Linked DNA regions of Notamacropus eugenii. The protein of the gene in region 1 purifies or fractionates together with the protein of each later gene. This does not show direct contact. Links are inferred from orthologs where the notes say so. Each region holds a gene or a part of one and is shown in the gene's direction. Other genes may lie near its edges.

Evidence for each region.
Region 2: the proteins of RNF7 (region 1) and ASB7 purify together in Homo sapiens (co-immunoprecipitation; 4 studies listed by BioGRID and IntAct, with this or other methods). This does not show direct contact. The link is inferred for Notamacropus eugenii from reciprocal best matches to the Homo sapiens genes RNF7 and ASB7.
Region 3: the proteins of RNF7 (region 1) and SPSB2 purify together in Homo sapiens (co-immunoprecipitation; 3 studies listed by BioGRID and IntAct, with this or other methods). This does not show direct contact. The link is inferred for Notamacropus eugenii from reciprocal best matches to the Homo sapiens genes RNF7 and SPSB2.
Region 4: the proteins of RNF7 (region 1) and ASB1 purify together in Homo sapiens (co-immunoprecipitation; 3 studies listed by BioGRID and IntAct, with this or other methods). This does not show direct contact. The link is inferred for Notamacropus eugenii from reciprocal best matches to the Homo sapiens genes RNF7 and ASB1.

Annotation. Positions count from the first base shown.
Region 1 is NC_092877.1:330,008,304-330,015,989, forward strand, and holds the start of RNF7 (RING-box protein 2), read left to right. Parts: upstream 1-4,510; 5' UTR 4,511-4,762; coding exon 4,763-4,937; intron 4,938-7,686. UniProt on the Homo sapiens protein: Catalytic component of multiple cullin-5-RING E3 ubiquitin-protein ligase complexes (ECS complexes), which mediate the ubiquitination and subsequent proteasomal degradation of target proteins.
Region 2 is NC_092872.1:154,030,142-154,038,015, reverse strand, and holds the start of ASB7 (ankyrin repeat and SOCS box protein 7), read left to right. Parts: upstream 1-4,776; 5' UTR 4,777-5,345; intron 5,346-5,467; 5' UTR 5,468-5,539; intron 5,540-5,779; exon of another isoform or gene 5,780-7,874. UniProt on the Homo sapiens protein: Probable substrate-recognition component of a SCF-like ECS (Elongin-Cullin-SOCS-box protein) E3 ubiquitin-protein ligase complex which mediates the ubiquitination and subsequent proteasomal degradation of target proteins.
Region 3 is NC_092874.1:195,224,030-195,232,079, reverse strand, and holds SPSB2 (SPRY domain-containing SOCS box protein 2), read left to right. Parts: upstream 1-4,768; 5' UTR 4,769-4,833; intron 4,834-5,103; exon of another isoform or gene 5,104-5,229; 5' UTR 5,230-5,277; intron 5,278-5,569; exon of another isoform or gene 5,570-5,649; 5' UTR 5,650-5,684; coding exon 5,685-6,354; intron 6,355-7,074; coding exon 7,075-7,202; 3' UTR 7,203-7,343; downstream 7,344-8,050. Other genes in the region: TPI1 (triosephosphate isomerase), read right to left, coding at 7,831-7,949. UniProt on the Homo sapiens protein: Substrate recognition component of a SCF-like ECS (Elongin BC-CUL2/5-SOCS-box protein) E3 ubiquitin-protein ligase complex which mediates the ubiquitination and subsequent proteasomal degradation of target proteins.
Region 4 is NC_092873.1:66,137,386-66,145,475, forward strand, and holds the start of ASB1 (ankyrin repeat and SOCS box protein 1), read left to right. Parts: upstream 1-5,031; 5' UTR 5,032-5,096; coding exon 5,097-5,229; intron 5,230-8,090. UniProt on the Homo sapiens protein: Probable substrate-recognition component of a SCF-like ECS (Elongin-Cullin-SOCS-box protein) E3 ligase complex which mediates the ubiquitination and subsequent proteasomal degradation of target proteins.

The DNA of each region.
Region 1 (7,686 bases):
AATCAGATTGTGGAGGGTTATCAAAATGCAAACAAAAGTGTTTATAATGAGATACTTTATTCAAAGTTTTGCTAGGCAAACTATATCCACATCACCTCATCCACTGGCACAGTCATCTAGTCAAAAAGGGAAATGGGGTTAGTGTGTTCATAATGAAGCCTGCAGACTCCTAGCTTGTTTTACAGATAAGGAAACTGAGATCCAGAAAGATGAAGTGATTTAGTCCGAGTGCGATTTTAGGCGAGTCATTTAACCTCACCGTACCTCAGTTTCTTCATCTGTAAAATGAGGGGACTGAACTAGATGAGCTCTAATGTCCCTTCCTAGGTCTAAATCTAAGATTATCTGATTATAAAGACAAAAAGACCAAAGCTAAGAACTGAGTTTTGGTGGATACCCATCATACCCCACTAAGCTGGATCAGTTAGAAGAGGAAGGAACCATTTGGCTGGGGATGGGCCTAGGGTGGTGGTGAGCCTGGGAGGGAGAATGGGGTGAGAGGAAGGGGAGAAGGGGGACTTATCAACAGATGCAAAGAAGCAGAGACAAAAAGATCTGTACACAGAGTCACAGGTCAAAACAACCAGGGATCAACTGTTCTCAAGCAGAGTCTGTTTATCAAACAGGAACTGCCAGGAAGAAAGATTTAAGCTAAATTAGAGTTCAGGTGCCAGTAGGTCAATAAGCTGAAGATAATAGAGTCTTGGATCAAAGGGCAGATCTTACTGGCAGTTCTTATGGGGGCAGCAGAGAAGCACCCTGAGGGTTTTACAGCCCATATCAACTGACCCTGTGCTCCCTAAAGTTACAATTTTGCTGAGATTCATTTATTTTAGATTCATTTAACAAAATTATTTAAATATTTATTTAAAAGAGAGAGAGAATTCCACCAGTCTTCCAAAGAAAAGAAATTTCAGAACACTTTTTTCACCCATAAAAAAATATTTTTTATAGAGATGATGGAAAAGGAAAGAGTAAGAATGAAGACAGACAAGTGAAGAAAAAGAGCAAAAATGGTCATATTTACTTTCTTGGAAAGTCTTGTGAAAGGAGTTTTTGAAGGGATGAAAGTACTTTTCTTAATAGAAACACAACAGGAAAATCACCATAGTACAGAAATACAAATACCTTCCTCCTGACCAATGCAACAACATAGCCAACTAAGATACAACATAACCAACTAGTAGACATTTGGTTAAGAAATAACCTTGTGCACAGGTTTTATAAATTGATGGGATGTAGGGAAAGTGGTTGAAGGCTAGGGCAGAGTCAAAGATGACAGGTTTTGTGCTTGGGTGAGACTGGAAGGCTACGGTGCTACTAACAGGAGTAGGAAAGCTGGACTAATCCTACGATTTAGAGATGGATTAGGTTTTAAGGCTTATCTGCTCCAACGCCCTCAGTTTACAGATGAGGAAACTGAAACCTAGGGAAATGGAAAGCTTTGGCTAAGGTCCCATGGGTAGTAAGCAGTACAAATAGAGTGGAGCCAGTTTTAGAGAGATGATGATAAATTCAGTTTGGACATACTGAGTTTGAGGTAATATCAGGACATCTAGGTAGAAATACTGGACCATCATTCAAAAAAAAAAAATCAGGAATGGTTATACAGATTTAGGAATCATCCCCATAGCTGTGATACCTGAAATCATGACAATGGATCCTCTCACCAAGGGAGAAAATATAAAGAGGAAAAGCAAGGGGTTATGATACTTCATCCTCTGTAAAAGAGGGGTAGACATAGTGAGGTATTAAAATATGAAAGATGGGGGTAAATAGAATTCCCAGTAGAAGATCACATTCTTCTCAGTACAATAGAAAGTGAGGTCATTTGCTGAGAAAAGTGGGGTAAATTTTGGGTCCAGATGCGAAAGGAGGTTTGCAAAATCCCCTGTGGAAAGTGTGACAAGGTGTTTATTAGAGATGATTAAAAGCTTTGAGGTTCATGATGGAAAATACCATCCACATCCAGAGAAAGAACTATGGAGTCTGAAATCAGATCGAAGCATACTATTTTCTCTTTCTCTCTCTCTTTTAATTTCTCATGGTTTTTCCCTTTCTATCTGATTCTTCTTTCACAACATAACCAAAGTGGAAATGTGTTTAATATGATTGTATATGTGTGTATAATATAGTATATACATATGTATATACAATGTATATTGTATATGTATACATATGTGTAGGTAGTATGTATTGTATATAGTATATATACATATATGTATATATACAGCCTATATCAAATTGCATGCTGTCTTAGGAAGGAGGGGAAATTCAGAATCAGAATTTTATAAAAGTGAATGTTGAAAACTAAAAATAAGTAAATGACAAGCACTGAGGTTAAAGAATGATTTCTAGTATCAGTATCTTATCAGTGCGTAGGTAGCCATAAGATGTCCTAAGCCTTACAGAGCGTTCTGTTGCATTTAAGGGTCGATGGCACATTGGTTTAAGTTTCAGAGCCTGAACATCTTTAACTGGGAAGATAATGTATTGCATATTCAATAAACCCTTCTACTCTTATTTGGGTAAGCTCCTTTTCCGCCATTCCTGCACAGTTCATATGACTCACAGCACCTGTGAAGGACAAGTCTTGGTTTGCTGGTTCACATCATAGCTTTGTTCCTCATTGCTCCTCCATTCTCTGTTATCCTGGGCTAGCCCCCTGCTTTGACATGCCTTTGACCCATGACTGGTTCTACATTCTGTCAGACACCAATTGCTTGCTTCTAGGGGGCCACATGGATTGCAAAATCTCACAAGATCACACTAATGCCAGTCAGGAGGACAAAAAGTAGATGGGAGGGATCTTTGCCCTCATCATCTGATCAAGACACTGTATAAACAAGTTACTCAGCATCTCCTTAACCTCAGACATGGAAGCAAATACAGGGAGGCTGCCATTATGCACAATATCCTTCTTATCCATGAGGTCCCTGTGCCACATTAATTTTTTTAAAATTTCCCTTAGTGCCTCCCAGTGTGCTATGAATATACTTACTGCCCACAAATAGTGGTTGCATGAATGAGTTCCAAATGTAGTGAGGGCTGTGCTCATCTTTGAGTACTTGGTAAATATTTGACTCGTCTTACATACAACCATAAATAATGGCCATGTTCAAATATGATTTCCCAATCAATATTTTTAGCACTGACCTCTCAAAAGATCTCCAATTCTGTACTTTTTGTCCATCCCTCCCCAAACCCCTGATGCTGAATGAGTCTAATTCATACTTTTCTCCCAATCCCTCTTTAAACTCAATCTATCATAATCAGTCCCTATGGTTGTCAATTGGCACTACTATACCTCAAATTCTTTCTTTCCCTTAACTTTTAATGTATAACTAAGCCCTCCTAGACTTCTGTTTCCACTTCAGTTGGACAAATTTAATGTTTCCAGGAATATTTCTGCCATCTCCCAACTGTGGTACCACATGCCACTCCTGCCTGGAGGAGCTTTCCTCCTTCTTTCAACCCATCTATTATCCTTTCCTTTTTCAGACTGCTCATTAATAAGCAACTACCTTTTTAGGCTTAGTCTGGTTGGGCTCCAAATTCTCTAAGTAATCCCACTGTGATCATCTTCCGCACTACCTCAGCTATCCAGCACTTACAGGTACCCAATAATTCCGTATAAATGATATTGATACTCACATACAGCTTTGTGAGGAATGTTCCTTCCCCCTCCCTCCCCTGTGCCCACTGCTGACTTAAGAAAACCCTAACGGGCTGAGGGCTGCCAGGGAGACGGCAAGAGGTCACCAGGAGAGTCGGGAGGAGACGAGAAGGACAGCCGGTATTTATGCGGCCCTTCACGCGTCTCGTCTCGCTGGGTCCTTCCACTTGGGCAGATAGCACCTCCCCACCGCGCAGAGGAGGAAGCTGAGGCCGCACGGGTTAAGGACCTGCTAATTTCATTTACGTAAATATTCTCCAACGGATCCTCCCGACGGCTCGGGGAGGTCTTACCGTGGAGAAGTTTAGGCAGAGGAAGGAAATCAGTGTATTGATCACCCATACGTGCCTGCATCGTACCAGGTGCTTTCCTAATATCCCACGTGATCCTCGCAGCAGCCCCGGAAGCTGAGAGGGCCTTTGTGATTCCTATTTTACAGACGGGGAAACGGAGGCAGCCAGTGGTGGCGCGCCTGGCCCAAGGTCACGGAGCTCGTGAGTACGGGAGGCAGGGTTTGAACTCGGCTCTCGCACAGGGGTAGGGAGCCTTACTCGGCTGATTCCTTGCCCTCTTTTACGAAGTGACTTCAAGCACTGGGGGCTCGGAAGGCCAGGGCTTAATTAAGCTCGGCACCGGGCCCAGGCCCTGCCCACATCAGGCCTCAGGGCTGCGGACTGCCGGTGCCCGGCCGAGGGCAGCGCTTTCGAGGGGCGACCAAGAACCCAGGACCACCCGCGGCAAGGTGAGCGCAAGAAGACACGCGCAGGGCAGGAGGGGGCGGGGCGGGGCCCGTTCAGCTCCGCCCCGGTGACGTAACCCAAGCGCAGGCAGAGTCGTCCAATCCTGGGCCGCGGCGCCGCGCCGGCGGGGCTGACGTCGGCGTGCTCAGCGGCGTGGTCGACGTCGGCGTCCGCGGGGGCGTAGGCGGCGGGCTCGGTAGCTAACGGTCGGCCGGCTCTTCCCTGCGGCCGCCTCTGGAGGGAGCTGCAGCCTCTCCCGAGGAGGCTTGGCCCCGCCGCCATAGCTCCCCGCCGCGCTCGCCCCAAGCCTCTCCCACGCCGGCCGGCCGGGCCCGCCCGCGCCGCCATGGCCGACGTGGAGGACGGAGAGGAGCCTGGCGCGCCGGCCTCGCACTTGGGCAGCTCGGGCTCCAAGGCCGCAGGCGACAAGATGTTCTCCCTCAAGAAGTGGAACGCTGTGGCCATGTGGAGCTGGGACGTGGAGTGCGACACGTGCGCCATCTGCCGGGTCCAGGTGATGGGTAAGCGCTGCCACGCGAGCCCGGGGCTGCCGCGAGGCCTCCGGGGCGTCTCCCTCCCCCACGCGGCCACGCACGCGCGCTCCTCCCCCGGCCCCCGTGGGGGGCCGACGTCTTCCGTGGGCCTCTGAGGAAGCAAGCAAGCGCGCGAACGCACGCACGTGTGAGCGCAGGCCCGCCCACCCGGGCCTTCTACCGACGGAGGGGGTGGGGGAGCGACGCGCTTTCCTGTCGAAGGCCCGCAGGCCGGCGTGAGACTGGGCCGGGTGTGGCCGACGGGGCCGCGCGTGGGGGAAACTGCTGAGCGCCCCCCGCCCCCGGCGGCCGCGCCTGTCAGACCCGCGGGCTCGGGGGTGCCGGCCCGGCCATCCCGAGGCGCCCCTGCCCGCCTGGTCCGGCCGTGGGGGGACCGGTCCGCAGGGACGGCGTGCTGCACCGAGACGAGTTTGATCACACTTAGAGTAAAGGAATCATGTGCCGTGTGTGATCGATAAGCTATGATTGATACGAGTTGGGACGTGCGTTTGCTTTTTATAGACCCGAGGCCCAGGCAGGTGAAGTCGTTTACTCCCAACCCTCCTAGGAAGAGTGCTGTTTAAATACAAATTACGAGAAAGAATGGAGGCAAAGAGAGGTTCATGTTAAAAAATAAAACCTTCTGTACTTGGGAACTAAAATATGAGTTTTAGAGTCATTAGAGGGGAAGTAAATTGTAGACAAGATTTTCTAATTAAGGGATGAGATTTTTAAGCATATTGGATTATCTTAAGCATCCTGTATCTTTTATCCTTTCATTTTGAGGATACTTTATAGTATTTATAGTGATTCAAATATATATATTTTAAGTTTTTTATCTTTTTTCTGTAGAATTTTGTTACAACTTAATGTTGATTCTTACTTTTCATGCTAGGGACATGATTTAATTTTTCCTCTGACATGAGAAATACGATCTCATTTTAAAATTTGGGTAGTGTTATTTTGTTGAGAGGGAAAAAAACCTTGATTTATTTTATTTAAAAGATTTCTAGTATTATTTTTCTTATGTAAAGCTGTGAAAAAACTTACTGTAAAGGAGTAGAAGTTCTGATTTTTTAAAAAGGAACATTTCAGTTTGTAGGTTAAAGGTTTGTTTTCATGGTGTCATTCATTGTGTTCATCCTTAAAGTGAAAATAGACCTCTAAAATGTTACATTTTGTTGAAAGTAAAAACATTTTCGGCTTCTATCCTGCATTCTGAAGGGTTAATATTCAGAAAGTAATTTTCTCTTTTTACCAAATTAATTACTTCAAACATTAAATAGAAATGTGGAAACCTATAGTGGCAGTTGATATTATATAACAAACATGCTTGAAGTATCCAATGCATGCATATAAGAATTCAAATGGCTGTAATTCTACCATCTTAGTTATAACACTTATTCCACAATTACCACGTTGATACAGATTTAGAGCAGTTAGGTTTTCTTAGTCTACAAGTATTTTGGAATGTATATTACATACAGACTTTTATTTATGGACTGCTAAAGTCCAGTGAGTATTCAGTCAATAATAATAGTGAGAGATTCATTTTTTTTTTAAACAAACCACTTCTGTCCTAAATTACTAATTAATGATCCTAATTACTACAAACTAAGTGACTGACAGTTAATAATACATTAAGTATAAAGAAGTAAATAATACCCTACTTAAGTTAGATATGAGCATCATGAAAATTCAGGCAGATTTTATGGTTAAAAAGATAAAAGTAGGATTTTATATTAGATCTCGTTCAGAGTTTTGATATCGAATATAAGCCAAGTCTTTGGGAACAAAGTCCAGATATGGTGGCATTTATGAAGAAAGTTTTTGTTCAAGTTTTGTATCCTATACAGTGCATTACTCATTTGAATAAAATGTGCATTGAGTAGACTGGGCCATCATTGCTGAAATTTTGGGATTTATTCCAGTTATCAGTGATTTCTTGTGATATCCTTGCTCAGAGGTTTGACTGTCTCCACTGGAATCTTTACTCCTGCTATTTAGGAAGGTGGCACAGTTACCAAGAGAGGAATTCAGGAAAGAGAGAAGAGGCATGCTATCTGTGCCAGCGGAGTACATGGATGAACCAGCAGGGGAGTGCTCCTAAGGTTCCTTTTAGGATTTCTGTACAAAGTAATGATGTATTGGGGGACATGACTGAGAATACTAGAGGTGGTATGTATGTGCTACAGTCAGGAGGAAAGGGGAGGAATGTGAGAGGGCATCTAAGAGGTGCCATAGGCTTTCAGATGTACCAAGAGTTTTAGGTGTGGCCTAGTAAAGAGAGTATCAGACTGGGTTAGAACACCAGTTGTATGACCTTAGACACGTCCATCACTTTACCCCCTGGTTCCTAGTTTCTTCATGCAGAGTCAGAGGTGACCTGAGGAGATGGGGAGTTAATTTGTTTCATCTTTCTTCAGTGTCATGAGGCCAGGATTTCTTGTCTACCTAGAATAGGCCTAGTGTTTTAAATGTACTTTTCTCTACAAAAGGATAGTTGTGGCCTTATTCAGCAAAGTATATCTTGAGGAAAAAAAATCTGTAGAATGTTATATCTCTTTATAGAACAACTATTAAAAGCATTGAGAAGGAAAATAAATGTGAATTATAGTATATTTGTTTTTCAGGAAAATGTTTTCTACCTTCAGCATTAAAAGCTGTTCGCTACTATTTTTTGTCTTCCTTTTAGCTTATTAAGAATCACATCTAATGTTCTGGTAGCTATATTCAA
Region 2 (7,874 bases), on another chromosome or scaffold:
GAAAATCATGTCATCACTTCTCTGATGGCAATGAAGGACGAACACAATCCTGTGAACAGATGCAGCTGGCTGAATGGGGACCCAGCTAGCTGGGTAACTCAATTCCTCTTCTCCTGTCTGCCTCCCCGCCCCCTTCCTTCTCCTCTCCAAAGGATGGTAAAGTTGGATGGCCAAAAGATGCCCAGTTGACTTGAGTTTTACTGGCCCCTTTCCTTCCCTTCCTTTTCTCCTGTTCTGTCCTATCCTGTCCTCTCCCAAAACCTTAAACCTACTGCACTCTCAAAGTGGGAAGCCAATGGGCCCCTGCCTAAGGGCTCCTCTTGACCCTCCTAGCTTTAGAGTGATTATCAATAGTAATTGTTGCTGTTTCCCACCCAGCCTGATGTCTTTCTTTTTCCTGACCTCATCAAAGGGGCCATGCCCTGGCTACTTCTTAAACAGGCCTATTCAATGAATGAGTGTTGCCTCACCCTAAGTGAGTACCTGCAAACACCTTGGCTTAAAGGGCCCAAGGTCTCCCAGTGTATCCTGGGTCATCTCCAGTCATCCTGATGAATATCTGGTCACTGGATTCAGATGGCTCTGGAGGAGAAGTGAGGCTGGTGACCTGCACAGCCCTCCCTCACTCAAAACAAAGTCAAGTGCAAGTCATGTCATCATTTCTCTGAGGGCATGGTCTTCTTTGGCAATGAAGGACGAACACAAAACCTAAGCCAAACTGGGACCAATTGAAAATCTTAGCTTGAAAAGACCAAATGCATCCTGGGCCGTGTCCAGTTGTCCTGATCTGTATCTGGCTACTGCACCCACATGGCTCCAGAGGAGAAAGTGGGGCTGATCACTTTGCACAGCCCTCCCTCACTTTAACTCAATTCACTTGCTTGTCATGGCCTCACTTCTCTAATGTCAGGGTCCTTCTGGAGAACAAAGAACAAACAGCAGTAGTTGTGTCCAATTCTTTGTAACCCCATTTGGTGTTTTTTTGGCAAAGATACTGGAGTGGTTGCTGTTTTGTTCTCCAGTTCATTTTACAGATGAGGAAACTGAGGCAGACAGGGTTAAATGATTTGCACAGGGTTATGCAACTAGTAAGTGTCTGAGGCCTAGCACTCCAAATACTATGCCACCTAGCTGCCCCACTGCACCACCTGGCAGGCATTTAAATACATAGTTGTTAAATAATACAGAAAATTATGTTTTGATGATCTGTACTTTTAAATTCTGGACCAATGGTATGATCTGTGGTTACATTAAAGAAGACACTCTGATTGTTTTGAAAACCATTTTAACTTCAATTTAATGAGCAGGAGAAGGAGTATGTAGTAGCAAGGTACTACACAGAATCAGAAAAACTGGGTATCAACAACTAGCCCAGTGACCCTGGGCAAGTCACTTACCTTTTCTGGGTCTCAGTAATCTCACTTGTGATATAAATGGTTTGTAGTAGATTCATTTCCCAAGTACTCCATTCCAGTAGTAAAACAATCAGTTTTACTATCAATGTAGTTTTCTAAAATGGAATTTTTCATTTTGAAATACTCTGCCTGTGGAAATTAATAGTATAACATAAAAAAAATTACTAAGGATATTGAGAAACTATGGGCCACTAAAAAGTACAAACTTTACAAATTTATTAATTCAACAGACTTTATATTAAAGGCTAGGTATAAAAGGAAACAAAAAGTGTAAGAACACACACACATTCAAATACAGCCTCAGATTACCTGTAACCTTGTGCAAGTCACTTAATCTTGTTTGCCTCAGTTTCCTCATCTGTAAAATGAGCTGGAGAAGAAAATGGCAAACCACTCCAGCGTCTTTGCCAGGAAAACCCCAAATGGAGTCATGAAGAGTTGGCCACAATTCATAGGTAGTAAGGGTCTCCAGGTTTCCTTCTGTATGACATTTTGTTAACTACATCAAGCCTGGGCAGGCTTCACAGCCTCTTAAGTGATATTTATTATCAAGAGTTTGGCCTACTGATCTACAAGGGGTGGGGGTGGGGGGAACAAGTAGATGAAGAATGCCTATTGTGCAGCAGGCTATAATTCAGCTACATAGATAAATCATCAGTACCTATATCTTGAACAGCCACCTTGAATAGCAGTGATTTAATTGTAGAACTTCCTGGGAAGAGGAGAGTAGGCTGTAGTGATTTTGGAAAATCAGACAATATTTTTGAGTTTCTCTCTGTTTTTACCCTAACATTTTCTTACAGCAGAGTGTAGCATTCCGCCGTATTTAAGGCATCCTCAAACAAACACACAAACACACACACACACACACACACACACACACACACACACACAGGATTGTCAAGCCTTTGATGATGGAGGTCCTTTCATATCTACAATCCCAGAGTAATCATTTTTTACATACTTATTTGAATACTTTCAAAATCTATTTCAAGTGGGCACACTGCAGCAATGCAGATCACAAAATGGCTTTGCTCAGAGATGGTTCAATGGACGGCTGAAGCCAAAAATAAACAAACTTAATTTTCTTTCCAATCATTTGGTGAAGGTATTCTAAACTTAGTTACCTAGGTTGGACCCTGGAGAACAGACCGAAAGGGTCCATACCTATACTCACGGTGTTTTCAGCTTAGCAAAATCTTCTGTGGCCTGCACTTTGCAGGTATAACATTTGAGGACTAAGGATTACCTCTCCAGAAACAATGAAGCAGTACAGTGGGAATTCAATGGGTGTCTTGTACAATGCTGTTCAGTAGTTTTTCAGGCCCCATTTGGTGTTTTCTTGGCAAAGATATTGTTGTGGTTTGCCATTTTCTTCTCTAGTTCATCTCACAGATGAGGAAACTGAGGCAAACAGGGTTAAGTGACTTACCCAGGGTCACACAGCTACTAAGGGTCTGAGGCTAGATTTGGACTCAGGAAGATGAGTCTTCCTGACTCCAAGTCCAACACTCTATAGGCTACCTATTGTACATAATTGGTGCTTATAAATCTTCGTTAAATTGAAGGCTTTCAGGATATGTAGGCTGAGGAAAGATTAGACTCTCACCAGTCTTAACAATTATACATTCCCAAATGTCTAGCCACCCTGTTCTAAAAAGTTGAAGTTTCAATTTGTCATGAACTAGCAAGAAATGGAGACAGGTCAATTTCACAGAATTTATGAAATGAAACTAAGCTCTTTTAGAGCAGGAACTATTTTTTGCCTTTACTTGGATCCCCAATGCTTAGCACAGTGCCTGGCACAGAGTAGGTTATTAATACATGCTACTTCACTGAAATATTGAACTACTTCCAGTTTAATTAAGCTTTTTCTAAAAACAGGAATGTTACACTTGAATTTCTATGTCTGGTCTCCCAAGACATGTCTTGTTAGGATCTGTGTATAGGCCCTGTCTGCAGTCTTAGGCTCAATCCCAAGCCTGAGAGCCTGAAACAAGTTATCCAATCCAACTCTCATTCTACAGAAAACAATGACCAGTGGTCTGGCAAAGTTGGGGAGAAGAAAAGGGAAGTTCCCACTATTCCTTATACGTGACGGTACTGTTTAAATGATACTGCATCGTGGAATACATTATAAACTATTTAGAAGGAAGTAAAGTTTCATTACTTTGGACTTTACAAATCTGCGATCATCTGGTCTGTGCTCAGAGCTCGTAGAGACTTCACACCCCATGAAGGCTTACTTTTTCAAACTTTCTCCATTTGAAAAAATCCACCAAGCAAAAAATAACATCAACACGACAGCAATTTGGTAACATCTTTAGAAGCTAAATACAGTGGTTACGTGAATTAAACATAACACTTATTCCCGAAAATTGGATGAGTATTATTCATTCCTTAAGCAAAGTGGGTTTTTAAAAATACAGTGGTCCATTAATTAGTCCAACTTCCCTTGCGATTATAAAGCAGCAAAATCTGCACTTTAATAACAGACCATGGGCTTAGACTGACCAGGACACTTAGCATTCACACACAAAACACTTTCCCCACAAAAAGACAGCGAAGCGCGCGTACAAGTGTCCCTTATTTTACAAACGTCTAGTCCACGCGTCTGCTAAGGGTCACGACTTTTGAGGCATATTTAAGCAGTATTTAAGAAACATTAGCAGAACGGTGCCGCCAATGCGCCCCAGAGAACTCACACTTCCGGTCCTCTCAACTTCTCGAAGCGCACGTGCAGAGCTCCGGGCTGCGAAGTCCCAGCGGCCCCCGCGGCACAGGGAAGGACGGGGGCTCAGCCGGAAAGCGGAGCCTGGCGGAGGAGCCGGGGGGAGCGGCGGGCTCCCAGACCTCACCTGTCTCCACCCTCGGCTTCCCGGGCCTACTGCCCGCTTCCTCCCTCCCCGAGTCGGCCCTTTCCCCTTCAGTCAGTCTCACAAACTCCTTGGAGAAGATTCCCCCACTCGCCCGCGTCCTCCCCTCCTTCCATCACGTCACCGTTTTTATCAGCCCAGGAGTCCCGAGGAAGCAGCCCCGCCTTCACGCTCAGGATCCAAGTGGACCATGGCTCCCAGGGACACTACTCTGTCCCTACCTCCCGGGCACCGTAGTTCCAAGAGATTCGTATGCCCTCCTAGTCTCCGCCCACCGCATGCGCAGAGACCCCTCCCTCGCGCGGTGGTCGCTTAGCAACTTCCCCGAGTCCTCTCGCTAGGGGCGGAGTCTGGAAGGGAGTGGAGAAGCGGTGAGGGGAGCGGGGAGTGGAGCCAATCGGAGACGAGTCCTGGCGCAGAACGGCACGCCTCTTCCAACTGTCGCGAACGCGCATGTGGCTTTACGGCAGAGGAGGGGGGGTGGGGGAGCGGGGAGAAGGCGGAGAGAAGAAACCAACCAACCAACCAAGCCACCCCCACCCCCACCCACCTCAGACCTGGTTTACGGCTCCGGGCTCAGTCCCCTGTGAGGCAGCTGATTGGTTGGTGGGGGGTTGGTCCCTTCCCTGTGACCCCAAAGTGCTGAAGGGGGGCGGGGGTGGCCCTGTGCAAAGTGCACCCAGAAAGCCCCCCGCCTTGAGCCCCCCGGCCGGCCCCCTCCAGCCCGCGGCCCCCTCACACCCTGCAGGAGCTGATTTCTTCCTGCCCAGAGACCTTCCCGGTCCCCCCACAACTGCGGCGCTCCTGCCCCCGACATCGGCAGCCGCTGCCCCGGGCACCCTAACTGGCTCTCCCCCCCACCCCCTGCCCTGAGGTCCCCCCAGATCAGGCTGCCTCCCCCGCTCCGCGGTCCGGGCGCTCGCCGGCCGAGGCGAGGCGCTGAGGAGAGCCGGGCGCCCGAGCGGTCCGGCCCTGAGGCGATCTCTTTTCATGGAGAAGTTGGTGGCCGCGGTGGCGGCGGGGAGGAGGAGCAGAAGCCGCTGAGGCTGGAGAGGTAGGAAAGTCAGTTAGGTCCCGGGGGCGGCGGCGGGGAGCCGGGTCACCTGCGCCCGCTCCCCCCGGCTCGGACCCGGCTGACTGCTGCCCGCCGGGGCTCTGCCTGCTTGGCTTTTCCAGGTTCCCCGGAGACCCGAAAACGGGAGGACTGCCGAACCGGCGCCGAAAGCGGGCTCCGCTGCCAGTGCCCAGGTGAGCCTCCTGCCCTCCCCCGCCCCCTCCCGCCGGAGCCGGGGCTTTATTTAGGGGAGCGCCCCGGTCCGCGCTGCCCGGCCGGCCAGGCAGAAGCCCCGCCTGCTTCCTAACCTCGCACTCCTAACTTCCTGGCCCCGGGGCTGGGGGCTGGGTGCCATCCTCGCCTAGACTCCCCCTGCCCGGCTTGGCCGCTGGGAGACCTTCGGGGACGTTTTTATTTGTTTGCTCCTCCCGCAGGGACTTCACAAGTCACTGGCTTTGCTGGTCAGTTTTTCAGGAAACTGTGATTTATAGGCATTTTCTCCTTGACTTTCCTCATCTTTCCAGTGGTCAGCCTATGAAATTTGGAGGACGCTGATAAGCCGTTTGAACGTGGATGTAGATAATCTGAGTCCTAGAAAATGTATCGATTAATCTTTGTACTTTGAATTATTTGCAGAATTTAATTTGTCATCACAGTATGTAGAGAAGTCACGATTTTCACTTTTTTTTGATAACTTCAAATTTGAGGTGTAGATAATGGACTTTTACAAACCAAGCCAAACACAATGCATTTCAGGATTTCACCAAGAATGGTTAACATCTCACAATATCTTGACAACAGGGGATTATTGTGTTTGTTTGTTTGTTTTAAAGAGAGGGGGGTTCACGTTGAGGTTGGTTTTATCTTAGGCCGCGGTCTGTAGGACTTTATTTTGGCAGTCTTCACGGTTGGCCTGCTTTTTAAATGTAAAAATCTTGCAGAAAATGTTCGGCTACTATTTTAAAAGCTGGTAAAGATGTTAAAAAATCCTCCATTTGGGGGTTATGTTATTGAAAGTGATTGAGAGGTAAATTCAGGCATTTATACAGCCCATACACTGGGAGACAGAAACAGGAAAATTGGCTAGGGAAAATTTTATGTAGGAGTTGGCCAAACGAACAATATGTTTCTGACATACAATGACATTTAAGGATGTAAAATGACTTCTAATTACTTCTTTCATAATCTTTTTAATATTTCAAATTATTTGGGATGTTTCCTTTTCAGTTACAGTTACAAAGCATCACTTAATTGCAAAGGGAGTTGGTAGGAAGTCTTTACTTCACCTCACTACCCTGTGGCCTTGTGCCTTCCTTGTGGAAAACAAAAATTGTGTCATTAATGGACCTTTCCACTGTCATTCTGAGATAATTCCCCTTCCGATGTGTTGCATTTATAACTACTGTGAACCTTAATGGGAATTGACTATCAGAGGGAGAATGTACTGTGCTGAATACATTTTACAGTTACTATGTACTAGTTAAAGTAGATAATATTGGTGAAAGTTTAATGTCCCTTTTGTCTACTCACAGGCTTTTGCTTGTATTTTTGTGGAGGGAGGTGGAAAGAGACATAAATATGTATAGAATCAAAGACAGAGACCTTTATTTGCTACATTTCAATAAAACTAGGCAGTACAGTCAAGTTGGAGGATAAGTTTCCACATTTAAATATAAAAATTTCAACTGCGGATAGTACATATGTTAGGATTTTTTCCCCTAAACTCTTTAGTTTTTGATATCAAAATGAAGTTCTCTGTTATGCAAGTTTTCTCACTTAAGCATGTTTCAAGCTTAAATTTAATAGAACATATTTCCTTCTGAAGGTTCTTTTTTATATTCCTTTGCTAAAGTACTACTAAAGCCTTATTAGAGTATGCAAACAATCCTGGTTTCTGAAAGGGGGTGATGTGAGTGAAGTAAAGCTCTGGAAGGAGCTATCAAGGTGGAAGGACATGTAATTCAAAGACAGTCCTAGTTAAATTTGGAGAGGTTCGTCACCAGAAGGTTGACAACCAGGTGATAAACTCATTTGCCCACAGCAGCATATGAAGACCACATATGTTGTGGAAGGGTTGTGATCTGTATTGGGAGGAATACCCACACCAGTGAAATTGGGTCATTTGACATAATGAAGATTTTGTTTTAAAATGATAGTCTGTAACTAAAGTGCAAATTTAAGGTAAGGAAGGTTTGCCTCCATACCCCACAACTTGGCCAGTCCATCATCGTTTTTGTTGTTTGTGTTATACCTTTTTAATTTTATTTCATTGATTTTTAAAATTTGTTTTATGTCTTTAATGAGTTGTTTTGCTGATATAAGTTCTATCCATCTTTTGTGTCTCTGAGAGTGTAATTGAGAATTGGAGTTGTGTCAGACACTATTTTAACCAGTTTGCTGAAATGTTCTTTATTGTTCATGTCTTAATCCTGCTAGGATTTTTTTAGTTCATTAATTGTATTGAAAACTACATTTAAAATTATTTTGAAAAATGCATTTTGAAAGAAGTATCTTAATTTTCCTGGTAAC
Region 3 (8,050 bases), on another chromosome or scaffold:
GTTCCTTAAAGATTACTTAGTCTAATTTATTTTACGGATGATAAAACTGAGGCCCAGTGACTCACTCAAGACTACCTAATTCTAGAAAGCAACAGAGTAGCTAAGTGGTGAAGTGGAAAGAGCTATTAGTCTGGAATCAGGAAGACCTGAATTCTTTTTTTTTAAGTCAAAAAAAACCACAAAGTTTATTAAAGATTCACCATATTGGGTTGACTCTTAGGGAGCCTAAGCATTTGTAATGCTTGTATTAACAAGTTGGACTGATAGAATCTCAGCTAGACAGAGTCTGAGCGCCTTCATGGAGGCAAGATGGAACTTAGACATAGAAAAGACTGTAGGAGGGATATGGAGGTGGTCTGGTAGTCTAGGGTGATGGGAGGAGGGGTTTAGGGAGGGTCTTGAGGAGAAGTCCAAGGAGGACCTCAATGGGATTGGGGTGACTGGTCAAGGGTTGGAAACAGCTAGAGGCAATCAGGAGATATCAGTCAATGGAAGATTTGAGTGGGGAGCAGGTGGGACAATCCAGAGGTCTTGATGGGAATGACCAGTCCTCTGGGGTGAATACAGATCGAGAGGATCTTGATGGGAGTGGTCAGCAGCCTGGGGAATGGGATTTTGATAGGATCAAGGGTGGGGAGTGCAACAGGAACCAGGGCACATGGGCTTCCAGAAGATTCGAGGAGAATTCAAGGAGGTTCCCAGAGTCTGAACCTCATCAGTGTGATCTTGGAAAAATCATTTAACCCTTTCTTCATTTATAAAATAAAGAGTTGGATCATATCTCAAATTCTATGAAATTGTCTTTCTTTTTGTCTTTGCATGCAGCCAAGTGCTTGACACCTAAAAGTTGTTTAATAAATGCCTGTTGATGATTAAATTACTTTTTAAAGTTTGTCAGTTCTACAATGTGGGGAGAAACTGAAAACTAACCAGTTAAGAATGATTAATCTTCAGCAGCAATAAATTTAGAATGGAAAAAAATACCCAACATGAGATTAAAATCAAGAACAGCATGACTCTTAAACAAAGAAGGTTTCCCATCAGTTGATTTTCAATTTTGATAATCAGCCTTCACCACAGAAAAATTCTAGTTTGGAAACAAATTTTTACAACACACCCCAATGTACACACATCACAAAGTGTTAAATGCTATTTTAACAAGTTTGTAAAGCTCCTTGGATTATAGTTTTATTAATTATTCACTGTGAACAATAATATGCTTTTTAAAATTTTCAGCACCAGCTACAGTCTTGAAATCCAATTTCACAGGACTCCAAATGTTAGTGATAACCTTTGAGGAAATCTTTCACTATTTACTTAATAAAACTACCATCTGAGGTCAGCATTCCATAATAATGCTGCTAAGTAAGTAGATTACTTCTCTAAAGCTTTCTATCATAGAACTTTTTGTCCATGTGAAATCCATAAAATAAGGCTAACTATTAAAAGGTTAGGTATTCCTTTATTCTAACTGTAGAAGAATCTTCTTTGCTCTTTCGCTATTAAGGGGAGAAATACTTTGTTTTTTTAATAACACTAAAGCAAAATAAATGTTTTATAATGAGGAGTCTAGACAGCTGAAACTACTCCCGAGTATAAATTTAGAAAGAAGTCTCTTATACTCAACTGAAGTATTCCCTCTTCATCTTGTTATTATTTCTACAAAATTTTGGTCAATGCTTTAAATATATCCTAGGTAGATATCTGTGCCAGACAACTGCTGAAGCAAGAGGCCTAATGATCTCAGATTATAAACAATATAAAGCAATCAAAATTTTCTCAATGTTACATTATGAAAAGCTTTCACAGACCAATAGTAAAACAGTTCCAAAGGCTAAGAAAATACTGATATTTAGAGTACAAACCACTACAATATCAAAGTAGATAAAACTATTATATGAGGGAACGTTTCAATCAGGATTGCTTGAGTTTGGATTATTTCCTTGTCCTAATACTTCCTTGAAATTTAGTCTTCATATTCACAACATATGTCTGGAATTTTCTGAAGTCTCATTTCACCAAGGGAGATGGCTTCTTCCCTTCAACGGATCTGTGGTCTGTTACTTCTTGAGCACATTGTGTTCAATGTACAATTTCAAAGTAGTGTCATATTGCCAAGATATGTTGAGGCATAAAGATGTATCCAGTGTATAAGGCCATTCCAACAATGGAAATCAACATGGAATTGAAGACAGTCCTCTCCCAAGGTTCCAGCATATGAAACATGGTGACAAGCAGATACTGGTAATAGAACCAAGACATCTGCTGCCAGGCCCTTCCAAGTGTCCTACCAGCCATCGGAACCTCTACTGAGAAGTCTGTCTTCTTGGTCTACACTAACTCCCTCAACCTGAATTCTTAACTGGTTTCAGACGATTGCTATTGAGAGATATTGAGCAAATCACTTAACCTGTTTGCCTCAGTTTCCTCATCTGTAAAACAGGGATACAATAACGCCTACCTCCCAGGGTTGTTATGAGGCTCAAATGAGATGATAATTGTAAAGGGCTTAGCACAAAGCCTAACACATAGTAAGTGCTCTGTTATTCCGAAAATTATCATTAACAACAGGGTAAAGTAGAAGGAGTTCCAGCTCTGCAATAAGATGTTGTTGTTGTTGTTGTTGTTCAGTCATGCTCAACTCTTCCTAACCCCATTTGAGGTTTTCTTGGCAAAGATACTGGACTTGTTTACCATTTCCTTCTCCAGCTCATTTCACAGATGAGGAACTGGGGCAAACAGGATCACACAGTTAGTAAGTGTCTGAGGCCACATTTGAACTCAGGAAGATGACACCTAGGGTCCCTGGAAGATGACATGGGGTTCAAATTCAGCTTTTGACGTTGCCAATGAGACACTATATAGCCTTCCGAGGTCTTTGTTTAAAATGAAGTAGTGGGATGGCCTCACCTCTGTGGTTCTTCTACACCTTTTCTAACCTGGGAATCATCTTCCACTATTCACTTACATTCACCCCCTATATCCAATCTTTTGTCAAGTCCTGTCTTTTCTATCTTTGTTACATCTCTGCATAAGTTCCCTTCTCTCCCCTGACACTACTATCCTGAACAAGGTTCTCATCACCTCATGCCTGGACCAGCCTTCTTGTTGGGTCTCCCAACAAATTCATGACTCCCTGTCACCTCCAGGATCACATATAAAATCCTGCTTGGCTTTTTTAAAAATCTTGGTCCAACATTGCTGGAATCTTTTATTTTTTTAAATTTAAGTAGTATTTTTCCCCAATGACATATCAATAATTTTTTATCATTCATTTTTACAAGATTTTGAGTTCAAAATTTTCTCCCTCCCTCCCTTTCCCTGATCTGAAAATGGTAGTCAGTTTGATATAGTTTATAAGTGTGCTATCATGTAAAACATATTTCCATATTGGTCAGTTGCAGAAGAAACATAACAAAAGGAAATAAAACCATGAGAAAGAATAAAGTGGAAAAAATATGCTTTGATTGGCATTCTGAGTCCATCAGTTCTTTTTCTGGATATGGATAGCATTTTCCTTCCCAAGTTCTTTGCACTGGTCTTGGAGGGTTGTGTTGCTGAGAACTGAGTCAGTCACAGTTGATCATGACACAATGTTGCTGATACTGTGTATCTGCTTCTGCTCATTTCACTTTGTATCAGTTTGTACAGGTCTCTCCAGGATTTTCTGAAATCTACCTGCTCATCATTTCTTATTGCACAATAGTATTCCATTACATTCATATACCACTGCTTGGCTTTGAAAACCCTTCATAACTCACTCCTTTCTACCTTTCCCGTCTTCTCACACCTTGCTTTTCTCCACCTCCTCTGCCTTCAGGTGAGACTTGTCTCCTTGCCACTCCTGCACGGGACAATCCGACTCCTGACTATTTCCTTTGGTTATTTCCCAGACCTGGAATACCCTCTCTCCTCCTCTCTGCCTCCTGGATCCGCTAAAGTCGCATCTTCTGCAAAAGGCCATTCCCAGGTCTCTAAAATCTTAGTGCCTTCTCTCTGAGACGATCCCTTATTTAAACTACATATCTCTTATTTGTGTATAGTTGTTTCCATGATGTCTCCCCGATTAGACTGTGAGCCGCTTTTCATTTTCTTTTGCCTTGGTTTCACCAGCACTTATCACAGAGCCTGGTAGACAGCAGGCGCTTAATAAATGCTTGTTTTCTCACTTACTCCCTCACTAGATGGCCTTTGAAGTCCCTCCCCGTTCTGAATCGATGATCCCGGCAAGCAGGCTGCCCTCTTGCTTCAGGGGATTAGGACCCCCCGGAGGGAAGAACTGGACACCCAGAGCAGCCCATCACTTAGGGAGCCTGCCCGCATCCCCTCCCTACCAGGGCCACGGTGAGGGCGGCGGGGAGCCTGCCCGCAAGAGCCGGCCGCTGTCCTGGGCAGGCCAGGGCTGGGTCAGCGGGGCGCCGTCGCAGAGGAGGGCCGAGGGTGCAGCGTCCCACGGTGGCCGGCAGAGGGTGCCGAGGCGCGCCCTGCCCTCCCTCGCTACCATTCCTGGGCCCAGGCGGGGCACGCACCGAGCTCGCCGGGCTCCGGGCGCCCCGCCCCCTCAAGGGACGGAACCGCGGGAATTGTAAGGCGGAGCAGGAAGTGCCATTCATTCATTCTTCTGAGTCCAGAAGGGGGTCCGACGTCGGTCTGCGCACGCGCACAAAGTACGGCCACCAGCCCCCCCCTCGTCCCGCCCAGCTGGAGGGGGCAGGCACCTTTCAGCCGGGCGCTGCTGACGTTCACTCCCCGAGCGCCCGGCGGGGGCGCTGCCAGCCCTGCCCTCTCCGCCCCCCGCCCCCCGGTTCCTAAGGCAGCGCCGGCCTGTGAAAGGTGAGCTCCGAGTGCGGAGACACCAAGGCCGGGGCGGAGCCGGAGAAAGCCCCGACTGTGCAGTCAGGGGGCCCGGCCGCCTCCCCAAATTCAGCTCTCGGACCCTCGGGTTCTCCCCCCGCCCATCGGAGGGTGCTTTCCTCCAGACCCCGATCCTAAGAGGGAAGCGTGCTCGCTCCCCCCAACCCGTGCCCCCTTTTTTCATGCTCCAGTCCGCGGTCTGGGGCGGAGTTAGGGGGAGCAGGGCGGAGACGGGGGGGGGTGGGAGGCGGGGTCCGGCGTAGGAGGCGGAAGCTGAGAGGAAACTGGGGCTGTCCGGAAGGGACCGTGGGGTCCTTGGCTTTGGGGCCGGCCGGGACCTTAGAGATTATCTAGCTGAGACCTCTCATTTTACAGATGAGGAAACTGAGGCCCAAAGGGAAGTGACTGGCCCCAGGGTTACAGGTAATAAGCAGCAGGGTCGGGGATTCGAACTCACGTCTTCGGACTCTCTCCAGGGCAAGGAGTCCGCTGTGTAGGGAGGAGGCCTGGGGTGGGGATCGAGATCGGGACGCTTTGGGAGGCAGATAGAGAACTGGCCGTGGACGGACAGGACGGGGTGGGGGGGACCGCGGAGTCTGGGAGGGCAAGGCAGCATTAAGGAGGACACCTCGGGGTGCCGGCGGCTGGGTGGTGAAGACGTGGGGGAGATGCCCGGGGCAGCATGGATTAGTCACTCGCGCTTTCTGTATTCCAGCGTTCTTCCCTCCCGGGTCACTAGCGGCGGTGGGTGGAGAAGCGCCCTCCCTACCTTCTAACCACCCGGCCCCTCTCCAGGCCTGCATTGGGGGGATTCTCCAAGCCCCCCTCCCATGGGCCAGACTGCCCTGGCGGGCGGCAGTGGGACCGGCGGCACCCCATCCCCAACCACCTCGTACCCAGATCTGTCTTTCCCGGAGGGACTGGAGGAGCTGCTGTCGGCACCCCCCGTAGACCTGAGTGTGCAGCAGCATCACGGCTGGAACCCCAAGGACTGCTCGGAGAACATCGAGGTCAGGGAAGAGGGACTGAGCTTTGAGCGAAGACCTGTGGCTCAGAGCACCGATGGAGCCCGGGGCAAGAGAGGCTACTCGAGGGGCCTGCACGCCTGGGAGATCGCCTGGCCCCCAGAGCAGAGGGGCACCCATGCCGTGGTGGGGGTGGCCACAGCCTTAGCGCCACTGCAGGCGGACTGTTATGCAGCATTACTGGGCAGTAATGGGGAATCGTGGGGCTGGGACATTGGGCGGGGTAAGCTGTATCACCAAAGCGAGGGAAACGGGGCTCCCAGATACCCCACGGGGCTCAGGGATGAGCGTCTGGAAGTGCCCGAGAGATTGCTGGTGGTTTTGGATATGGAGGAAGGAACTCTGGGTTATGCCATTGGAGGTACCTACTTGGGGCCTGCCTTCCGGGGCCTTAAAGGAAGAACCCTGTACCCTGCTGTCAGTGCTGTATGGGGGCAGTGCCAGGTTCGAATCCGCTACCTGGGTGAAAGGAGAGGTGAGAGTGGGGTGCTGGACTGGATGGGGTCGCTTGCATTTCCAAGACACGGGGTGATTATTCGAGAGGCTCAGAGGACAAACTGGAGAGAAGGGACAAAGTCATCCGAAGCTTCCCTTTGGTTTGTTCTGTTTGAAGGTAGTCTGTCACAAGGGTAGGGGTCTGTGATCTAAAACCACTCAAGCTCGCCTTTTTTCCATTTGGGTCCCCTAAAACTGTCAATAAAAACTGTGGGCACAATATGAAGGCCCGAAGGGAAAAAACAAAAGGTTTGGGACCTAGGTGGAGGGGAGGAATTTGGTCTGATGGGGTTGAGTCAAAGGCTCTGACCCAGGGTTAAAGATTGTACTAGCCCACCTTCCCAGGAAAGCTCTGGCTTGGAGGGAAGAGGGCGCAGAGGCTTCTGGTACTTAGGAACTTATTTCCTCTTTTTTGAAGAAAGGCAGTTGTGGCAGTTAGTTGCATAAGTCTCTCAACTCCCATCAAGGAGTCTGCCCTGCTGTCCTCATACCTGTGTGGTGGCATAGGTTTGTAAGCTCTGAAAATCATGTCTAGCACGGCTCAGACAACACTATGTCCCCACCCCCCAAAACACCAGTCCCTTCCACCCTACAAGGCTGGGTAGCAGAAAGGCCCAAGGATGGATGGTGGGGGTGAGGCCAGGAATGACCTCCAATTCGATACTCTGGAAGTAATTAAATTTCTCTTGTCTCCCCACAGCGGAACCTCACTCCCTTCTTCACCTGAGTCGAGTGTGCATTCGTGACATTTTGGGGGAAGCCCGGCTGGGTGAGGTTTCTGCCCTGCCCTTGCCCCTTGCCATGAAACGCTACCTGCTCTACCAGTGACCCCACCCACTACAGACTTGACAATAGCCTCAGCCGAAGTTGAAGGCCTGTTTTTCTTTAAATGATAATGAGTATTGTTACAGTTGTGTTGTACTTTCTAACTAGGGTTTGCTTGACAGTCAAAGAGAAGACATCACTGGATGCTGTCATAGTCTCTCCTGTTTCTTTCCCCTACACTCCTTCATCTCTGGGGCTTACTCAGAGGAAGGCGGTGGCACAAAGCTGGCATTCGTCCTTGTTATCACCTGTTTCCCACCCCTCAATGACTGGGGTCTGAAGTAGAAAGGAAGTAGAAGAAAAGGTTGTCAGTCACCCACCCCTCAGAGAGACAGAGAGCACCAAATCACACCCTTTCCATTTTCCACCCAATCAATAAGAAATCACAAACATGAAGTGCTTCCCTCAAATTTACAGTAAATAGGGAAAGGCCTGGTCCATTGGAGGAAGGGCTGAGAAGCTGAGAACTGGGGCACACAATCTACACGGTGGAGGAAGATGTAGCTTGAATTGGACCATGGGGGGAGGGGAATCAGCATCACAATCACATGGGAGGGGGAGGGGTAAGCCATTCTTGTGCAGTCTTGTCCCAGCTCTGCATGTAAAGGAGTCGCAGGGCCACATGAAGGGCTCAGTTTTTGGCTTGGATGATGTCCAGGAATTCAGGCTTAAGGGAAGCTCCACCCACCAGGAAGCCATCCACATCAGGCTGGGCTGCCAGATCCTTACAGTTGGCCCCTGTTACAGAGCCTGGGAAGAAGTGAGAACAGATGAAGTCAGGTCGGAGAATCTCGACTTCCCCCACCCTCTCTTCCCTGTTCCCTCGCTCACTGGAGCGACTGTGATCTCCA
Region 4 (8,090 bases), on another chromosome or scaffold:
CTGGAGGGGGTGGCAACCAGCTACGTAAGTCTTGACTATTGATCATTGCTTCCTTCACTTCACAGAACCAGCTTGGAAGCTCTTTGGGTCTGTGCACACCCCTTTAAGAGATGTATGCTGCCCTAATGATCACTGAATGCACCAATCTTGTTTCAGCTCCTCCGATAGCCAAGCCTGGCTCCTGCTGCGCAATAATGCCAGCCTGCTTCTCTACAGATCCATCCTGTTTAACCTTCTCGACTGATTTATTGTCCCAATTGAAGGATTTGCTGGTCCTTCTGCTGACACCTCCATGCATCCCAGGGCAATACAGAAATATTACTGTGAAGGCCTCCGAGGAGCTTTAAATAAAATTACTGTGGGAATTTTCTCTCCATACTCTGACTTAAAGGATGGCCTATGGTGCATTTAATCATTGGAATGTTTGTTTGGTTTTGTTTCACATCTTAAAGGCATCTGTATGGTATACCAGTCTTTCATTTGACAGAGAGGAAGGGAGGGAGAAAGGGAGAAGGAATGGGAGAGGGAGGGAGGGAAGGAGGGAGAGAGAGGGAAGGGGGGGAGAGAGAGAGAAAGAGAGAGAAGGAGGAGGAGGAAGAGGAGGAGGAGGAGGAGGAGGGACACAGAGCAGTTATGTGTGAAAACAACAGCCCAGGATCCAAGGCTGCTGCAGATACACAGACTGTAAGTTTTCTCCCACACTCTGGGCCTTCCTTTGTTTGCAAGGTGTTACATGAAAGCCAGTCTGCTCAGCAGGCCTTCTGATCTGCAGACCTGCCCCCCAGAGACATGGAGCAGGCCTTCTCTCCACAGGACCTGGCCAGTGTCTGGTTCCTGTCTTGGGTTCACGTTTTTATAGATGAAATGCAAGCAGGATTTTCCTCTCCAGGGAGGCCAGTCCTCTTCCAACTCTGGTTCCTCTTCTAACTCTGGTTCCTCTTCTGGAGGTGGGTCAGACTAGAGGAGCTGAAGGGCATCTCCAAGGTCTTGAGCACCAAGGCTCATCTACTCCTGGAATCCCCAGCAGTGAAAGGCAGCATGGGAGTTCGGGAAGAGAACTGGACTCCCAGTTGGGCTCGGGTCTGAGTTTTGCCTTCTACTCAGTGTGTAATCTTAAACAAGACACTACCTTAAGGGCATCCTCAGTTTCTTCATTAAGAAATGAAAGGGTGCAGGTGAGAAGATTTCTGAGGCCCCTTTGAGCTCTACTGTACTTGAATCTCTCCATCCCTGACCTGTTGAAGGTTGGGGGAAGGATAATCCTTCCATCTCCACAGACCCTCCTGGACATTCTCTGCTAGTGTAGATGCTGCTTCATTGGTTTACACAAGTGAAACCAAGAGCCCATGTCTACATGTTGGGGGAGAGCTGCAAGGAGTCTGGCATAGATCTGATGGAAAATGACTCCCTTGAATTTTCCCCACAGCAGGGTCTTCTGGCAGTATAGCTTCTACTCGGAGACTACACTCCCTTCATTTAAAATAGCAAACAGCAAAGGTGGAGGGCCATAGACCATGGCCTGATCATTGGGGCCACGTGGTGGGACAGGGGAGAAAGCCCCAGGGTCTTCCCCCTCACTGCATGGTCTTTCGCCATGAATGAAGGAGTCAGTGAAAGGCATGAAGGATGGGGAGCTGATTGAGGCCTATATGAAGACATCCCCAGTTGTGGCCTTACAGTCAAAAGGTTCCTCGCAACCAGTTACAGAATGCCCAGGTGTGCTCCCAGGTCTCAGCAGGCACCTGCCTTACAGGGAATCATAACTCTCTGGAAAATATGGGATCAGCCACGCTATCTGGTAAAATCTGTGCAAAGAAATTACCCAGCATCTACACTCATTGGGTGAGCGAGCTCAGTGTTGTTTTTTTTTTTAAATTTAAACTTTGTCAGAGACACTTTTATTCACTATATACGACAATCAATTAATTACAGGAGGAAATATAGGCTGACCCCATAGAATTTCCTCTGTCAACCAAGTGAGTTCCAATTACAAGAAATTCCCAGCTAGTATACATAGCATAAAATAAAGAAAAAAAAGGCTCCACCACGAGCTGCGGCTGATTAAAAGAAACAGCATGTTCCATACAGGGAGAGCTAGGGACTGAGTTCACAGTGCTCAGATAGGACTCAGTAGCATGTCACAACATGGTGCATCTCACTGATGAGGGGAACACTGGGGACAAAAATAACATAGAAAGGAAGATTTGATCAATGGTTTGGATTTAAGGGGTAGGGCAAGATACACTTCTCCAAATTCTGTTTGCCTCAATTCTCTCCTTAGGAACTCTCCACAGTCCTTATGTTTCCACATGTTAAAAGGACACAAGAGTCCCAAGAAGGCCTTTAAAGTGAGAGACTCCAAATAAAACTACAAAATTACAAAGAAAATGGTTACTTTTGGGTTTTTTTTGCTGTTGTCTTGGATGATGCTGGGGCTACCATAGGCACTAGAAGTAACAGATGCTGAGAGAGGTCATTGCACCATTGGTGCCAAGAGAAGTCAGCGGACTTCTCTACAATCACATAATACAACAAGAGGAAGTCTTGAATAGTGGAGAGAATGCTGCTGGATTTGAGGTTCAAATCTTAATCCTAACATTTGCTCTCTTGACCTCAAACAAGAAAGATGACACTAGGATTACTCATCTGGAGGCCCGGAAGGATGGGGAGCCCTTGAGAGCAATAGGGAACTTTGGAAGAGGCATAGTTACGGGAGTGGCGATGGAGTTCATATCATCTCTCCACATAGAGAACCCCATGTTCGAACAGGTTAGTTTTTACCTGCTGATATGGGATGGAAACTTAGGAGAGAAATTAGAGGAGGCAATACAGATGTGGGAGCCCAGTCCTCTTCAGAGAAGTGATAATTGGATCCATGGGCATTGATGAGCTATCGAAGCCAGAGAATATGGAGATGGAACCTTGGGGAACACTCACAGCCTGTGGGCATGCCTCGATAACAAGTCAGACCGGGTCAAAGACTATGGAGAGGTCCAGGAGGGCAAGAAGAGAAAAGGCTGGAGGATTTGACCTTAATTAAGAGATCACTGGTAATTGCAGAGAAAGTGATTTCAGGTGGCAGCCCAATTTCATGCGGATTAGCAGAGCCTGAGAGAAAGGAAGCCGGTGCTCCAGGTGGGTCTAACTTTTTCTTGAAGTTTAGACAACTTGAGAGGGTCCTAGAATTAAAGGAAAGGAGTTTTTTTTTCTCCCTATTCCTTTTTTTCTTTTCTGTTTTTTAAAATGGGAGAAGTATGAGCTTGTTTATAAGCAGCAGGGAGGATGTAGTGGACAGGAAGAGACTGAAAACTAGATGATGATCATAGGGACAACTGCTGGAGAAGATAGGAGAGGATGGATCAAGGATGTCTGGACAGGGCACCTGTTGTCATTTTGTCATCAGATTCCCCAGCCTGTAACACAATATCTGGTATACAGTAGGCACGTTCAGTTGGAAGGATCTTACAAACTGGATTCAAGCCTCTCATTCTACAAAGGAGAATTGCTTTGCCCAGGGTTACCTGGGGGCAGAGCTGATACTGGACCAGCATCTGGCTCTTGGCTTAGAGTACCAGGGTCTTTCTACTCTATCATCTTTTGGATTCTCAGTTCTGTGACATCCTTTCTGTTTCCTTTTTGACCTGGTGACCACTGGGACACTGGACCACTGGGAGCTCTGGACTTGGGGTCAGGAAGGCCTGAGTCTGAATCCCAGTTCAGACACTCACTTAACTTTTCTTAGCCTCAGTTTCCTCATCTCTAAAAAGGAATAATAATAGTGCCTACTCCTCAGGTTTGTCATGAGGATCCAGCGAGATAATAATTGTAAAACACTTAGCACAGTGCCTGGCCTGGAGTAAGTGCTATCTAAAGTTATTATTGCTATCATGAACCTCCCAGGATCGTTAGGAAGTTCAGATGAGATTGCATTTTAAAAACAGTTTGCAGATTTTAAAGTGTTCAGCTCAATGGCTCCCTATTTCCTCCAGGATCAGATACAAAGTGCTTCTGACATTCAAAGCCCTTGATAATCTACCCCACTTTTCCAGGCTTTTGGCACCTTCTGCCCCCTTCCCAGCATGCTCCATTGACGCTGGCCTCCTTGCAGCTGTCCATCTCTGGGCATTTTCTTGGGCTGTGCCCCAAGCTCTCCTCATCGTGTCTCCTGGCTTCCCGGAATCCTCCCGGAAGGCTCCTCCAATCCCTGGCAACGCCAGAGCCTTCCTTCTGGATTACGTCTTATCTATCCTGTCTGGGGCTTGTCTCGTGGTTCTACCCCATGGGATGGTGAGCTCCTGCGGGGCAGGGATCGGCTTTTACCTTCGCATCCACCCCCCAGTGCCCAGCCCGGGACCAGGCACATCAAAGGTGCCGAGTGAACGCTTCTCTAGGACTGAAATTAGAGTAATTATATTAATAAAAAATGCCCACGCTTGGAGGGCCGTGGAGTCTCTGTGAGTGAAGCACGGACAGGAGGCCAGCTCACACTCGCCCTCCGTTATCTGGGTTCTCTGGCCAGGGCGGGGGCCTGGTACCCCCTGCCCCTCCCACTGCGGGGAGCTTCCTCCCAGGGCCCAGCTGCAGCCGGCCCGACAGGATCGGCTTTCCGAGCTGGGCACCCCCGCTGCTCCTCCGCCTGGCTCTGCCCTCCGGGAGCAGGCTTGGCCCCCACAGATCGGCCTGGGAGAAGCCAGAGGATGGCTGGGGGCGGCCCGGGGCGGGTGGGCGGTGAGCGCGGGATGCGGCGAGCCGCCCACTGCCCTTCCCTCCCCCAAGGGATCCTCCCCCTTCGGGAGGCTCCCGAAGGACGCGGCGGCTCCCCCACCTCCGCCGAGCGCCCCCCTGCCGAGCGCCGCCCCCCTGCCGAGCGCCCCCGCGCCCAGCGGCCTCCCCCGCCCAGCAGCCCCAGCCGCAGCCTGGGCCGCTCCGGGCACCGAGCGGGCGCGGAGAGGGCTGGGAGCGGGGCGGGCCCGGGCTGGCGGGCGGGCAGGGAGGGGCCGCCCTGGCCATGGCCTTGGGCTTGGCAGCGGCTCCCTGCTAGGGGGAGGGGGAGGGGGAGGGGAAGGTTCGGGACCGGCGCTGCAGCCCGGTGACAGATGGCCGAAGGGAGCTGTCAGGACAGCCGCCTCGCTGGCCCCGGGTCCCAGCGGAGGGAGCCTGGCGACAGCCTGGAAACCCAGCCCAGTGGCTGGAGGGGGGCCCCCTTCGGAGCCACGGATGGCAATGCAGGTAATGTGCCAGGCCCCAGAGCCCCTTCACTCTGGTGGGGGGTGTGGAGGGGGTGGGGGTGGCCCCGGCTCTGAATCTAGGGGGAAGCTCACGTCTGGCACGCGCCCCAGCTTCACGGCCTGCCCCTCGGACACCCCAATGCGCTTCCCAGGCTGAACTCGGGGAGGGGGAGGAGCCCTCAGCCTCGGAAGGACCTGCCACCTGTCTGGGCCTGGAGGATGCCACCCTGGGCCCAAGGGCAGCAAGAGTCCACTGAGGGCCCCAGGCCTCCAGCAGTGAGCGCTGGGCCCTTCCTTTCGGGGCTCCGCAGGCTAGCAGGGTGAGGCTAGAGGTGCCAAGCAGAGAATGTGCCTTGCCAGGCTCAGAGCACTAGAAATGGCAGCTATTGTAGCTGTCACTGGTCAGGCTCGGACCAGTCAAATTCTGAGACAGGTCTGATTTAGGGAAATTAATGCAGTCAGGAGACTGGAGGTGAAAGCCAGGTCTGCCTGACATTTCCTGGGTGTACCACAGTGGGCCTGGCCAGTCAGGGCATCTCTGAGCCTTGGTATTCCCCTCTGCACAATGGGGTTGTGTAAAAGGCTTCATAGATACTTAGTGAGCAGATATGCTCCTTCCCACACAGGGCTGAAGCTTCTTGAGGCAGGGGCTATTTCATTTGTGCTTTTGTATCCCCAGTGTCCCCCTAAGGACTGGGAACTAGCCAGGAGACTGGGGGATTGGGGAGGGAGGCTGGACCTAGAGCTGAGTTCAGATTCTACCTCTGCCTCTACTAGTTGTATGACCCTGGACCTCTGTCAACCGCAGTTTCTTTTTCTGGCTATTAATAGACCCTTCTTCCCAAGGGTTGCTGGGAGGATAAACATACTTATTGATCAGTTGATTGGGAATCATGATTCTTCCTCTGCCTCTTTAGAAGAGTTGTTGGATGCATTCTTTAAGCACTGCAGACAAGGGGAGCAATGGAGAAATGCAGTGAATTTTAGGGGCAGGAGAGAGTGAGTATTCTTGTCATGGAAAACTCACTTTTATTGGGAGGATGGGGGGTGGGGTTGGAGGATGGTCAGAAGACCTGGGCTCTAGCCCTGGCTCTGTCATCAGCTGTCTTCATGACCTTGTGAAGGTCACTTCTCTTCTCTGGTCCTCAGTTTCCCCATCTGAGCTGGCCCCTTCCCCCTTTGTCATTCCAGGTATAATATTTCTGGAGGGTCATCTTCAGTTATTCATCTCTGTGTTCCAGACAAGTGGAAGGAGCGAGAGGTTAGCAGTTGAAGGAACTAGGTGACCTTGGGGCCACTGATTTCCCTTTCTATCTCTTGAAATTGAGGAAGTGAGACTAGATGATCAATAGTCTTAGATACCTTCCAGTTTGTCATTTATTATGATTCTGTGGTCCTTGCTGGATATTTTCTCTGAGCCTCAGTTTTCTCAACTGTGAAATGGGAGGATCTGCCTAGATCAGAATTCCTAGAATAACCTTTCTGTCATATCATAGATCTCTTTGGCAGTCTGAGCAGTCCTATAGATCCTTTCCAAGCATCATGTTTTTAAATGCAAAAAATAACACATACAGAATTACAAAAGAAACCAATTCTATCGGAATATAATTACAAAAAAATGTTCCTGGATACCAGTTTAAGAATCCCTGGATACATCACTAGCATCTCTTCCTATTCTTAATCTATAATCCTATTTAATGAATTTATATTTTTAAAGAAAAGAAGAAATCAGCGTAGTTGATGTATACGTTGAAAAAGGATGCAAGTATGTGAAACGTGGCTCACTCATGGGCTTCCTGCTCGTGCAGAGGGGATGGGGTGGGAGTATATTCTAGGATCTCTTCTCTGGAGCCCTGAATGCTTTTTGTAATTTTGTAACTTTCACTTCTGAGTTTTTGTTCTTTCTGTTTACATCATGGAGTCACTGTATCTTTTGTTCCTTTGGCTCTCCTGACTTCACTTTGCATCAGTGCATGTAAGTCTTTTCATGCTTCTTTCAGTTCATCACAATTCCCATTTCTTACAGGACAGTAATATTTCATGGCATTCATGAATCACAATTTTCTTAGCCTTTGTTTTCTTTGTGGTGTATTGGTAGATTTAATGTTTTTTTTCTTTCAGTTTTATTTAGTTCAAGTCATGTCAGAGTTTTAGTTTGTATTCTGATCAGGTCCTTTTGAGCAGAGGTTTTTTTGGGGGGGGGGGAAATAAATATTAGGTTAGGGATGATGGGTGTTCCTGTGATTACACCTCTTAGGTGAGGAAACTCCTGTTGGCATCTTCTCCACCATTTGAAGTCTTAAAGAATTCCCCCTACCATGGAGAGTGTACACTTGTCAAGGGTCGTGCAGCTAGTATGTGATAGAGTCAAGACTCAAGCTCTCCTAGCTTCTAGCCTAGTTCTCTGGCCATGAGGCTTTGCCACCTCCCACTGAATTGTAAAATTCAATTCAGAAATCGTTATTAGATAGCAGCTATATGTCAGGTTTTGTGTTATGTGCTGGGGTAACCACAATAATAATTTAAAAAGCAAAACAGAACAAAAACATTCCTGGCTTTCAGGAAGTTTACATGATGGAGAAAAGGAACAGCATGTTTGAAGTTAAATAGACACAAAATGGATCCCATTGGGATTCCTGGCTGACCATGGGGTAGGGGTGGGAGAACAGGGAGAGGCAGAATCCTGTAGGAAGGATCAGTTGAGCTGAACCTTGAATTCCAAGAAGTAGAGGTGACTAGGGAGAGCCTTCCAGATGGTGGGAGATGGCATGGAAGACCTGGGGAAGTGACCTTAGAAGTCATTCAGTTAGATCCTTTGAGGAAACCAAGCCCATAAAGTTTAGGTGAATTTCCCATACACAC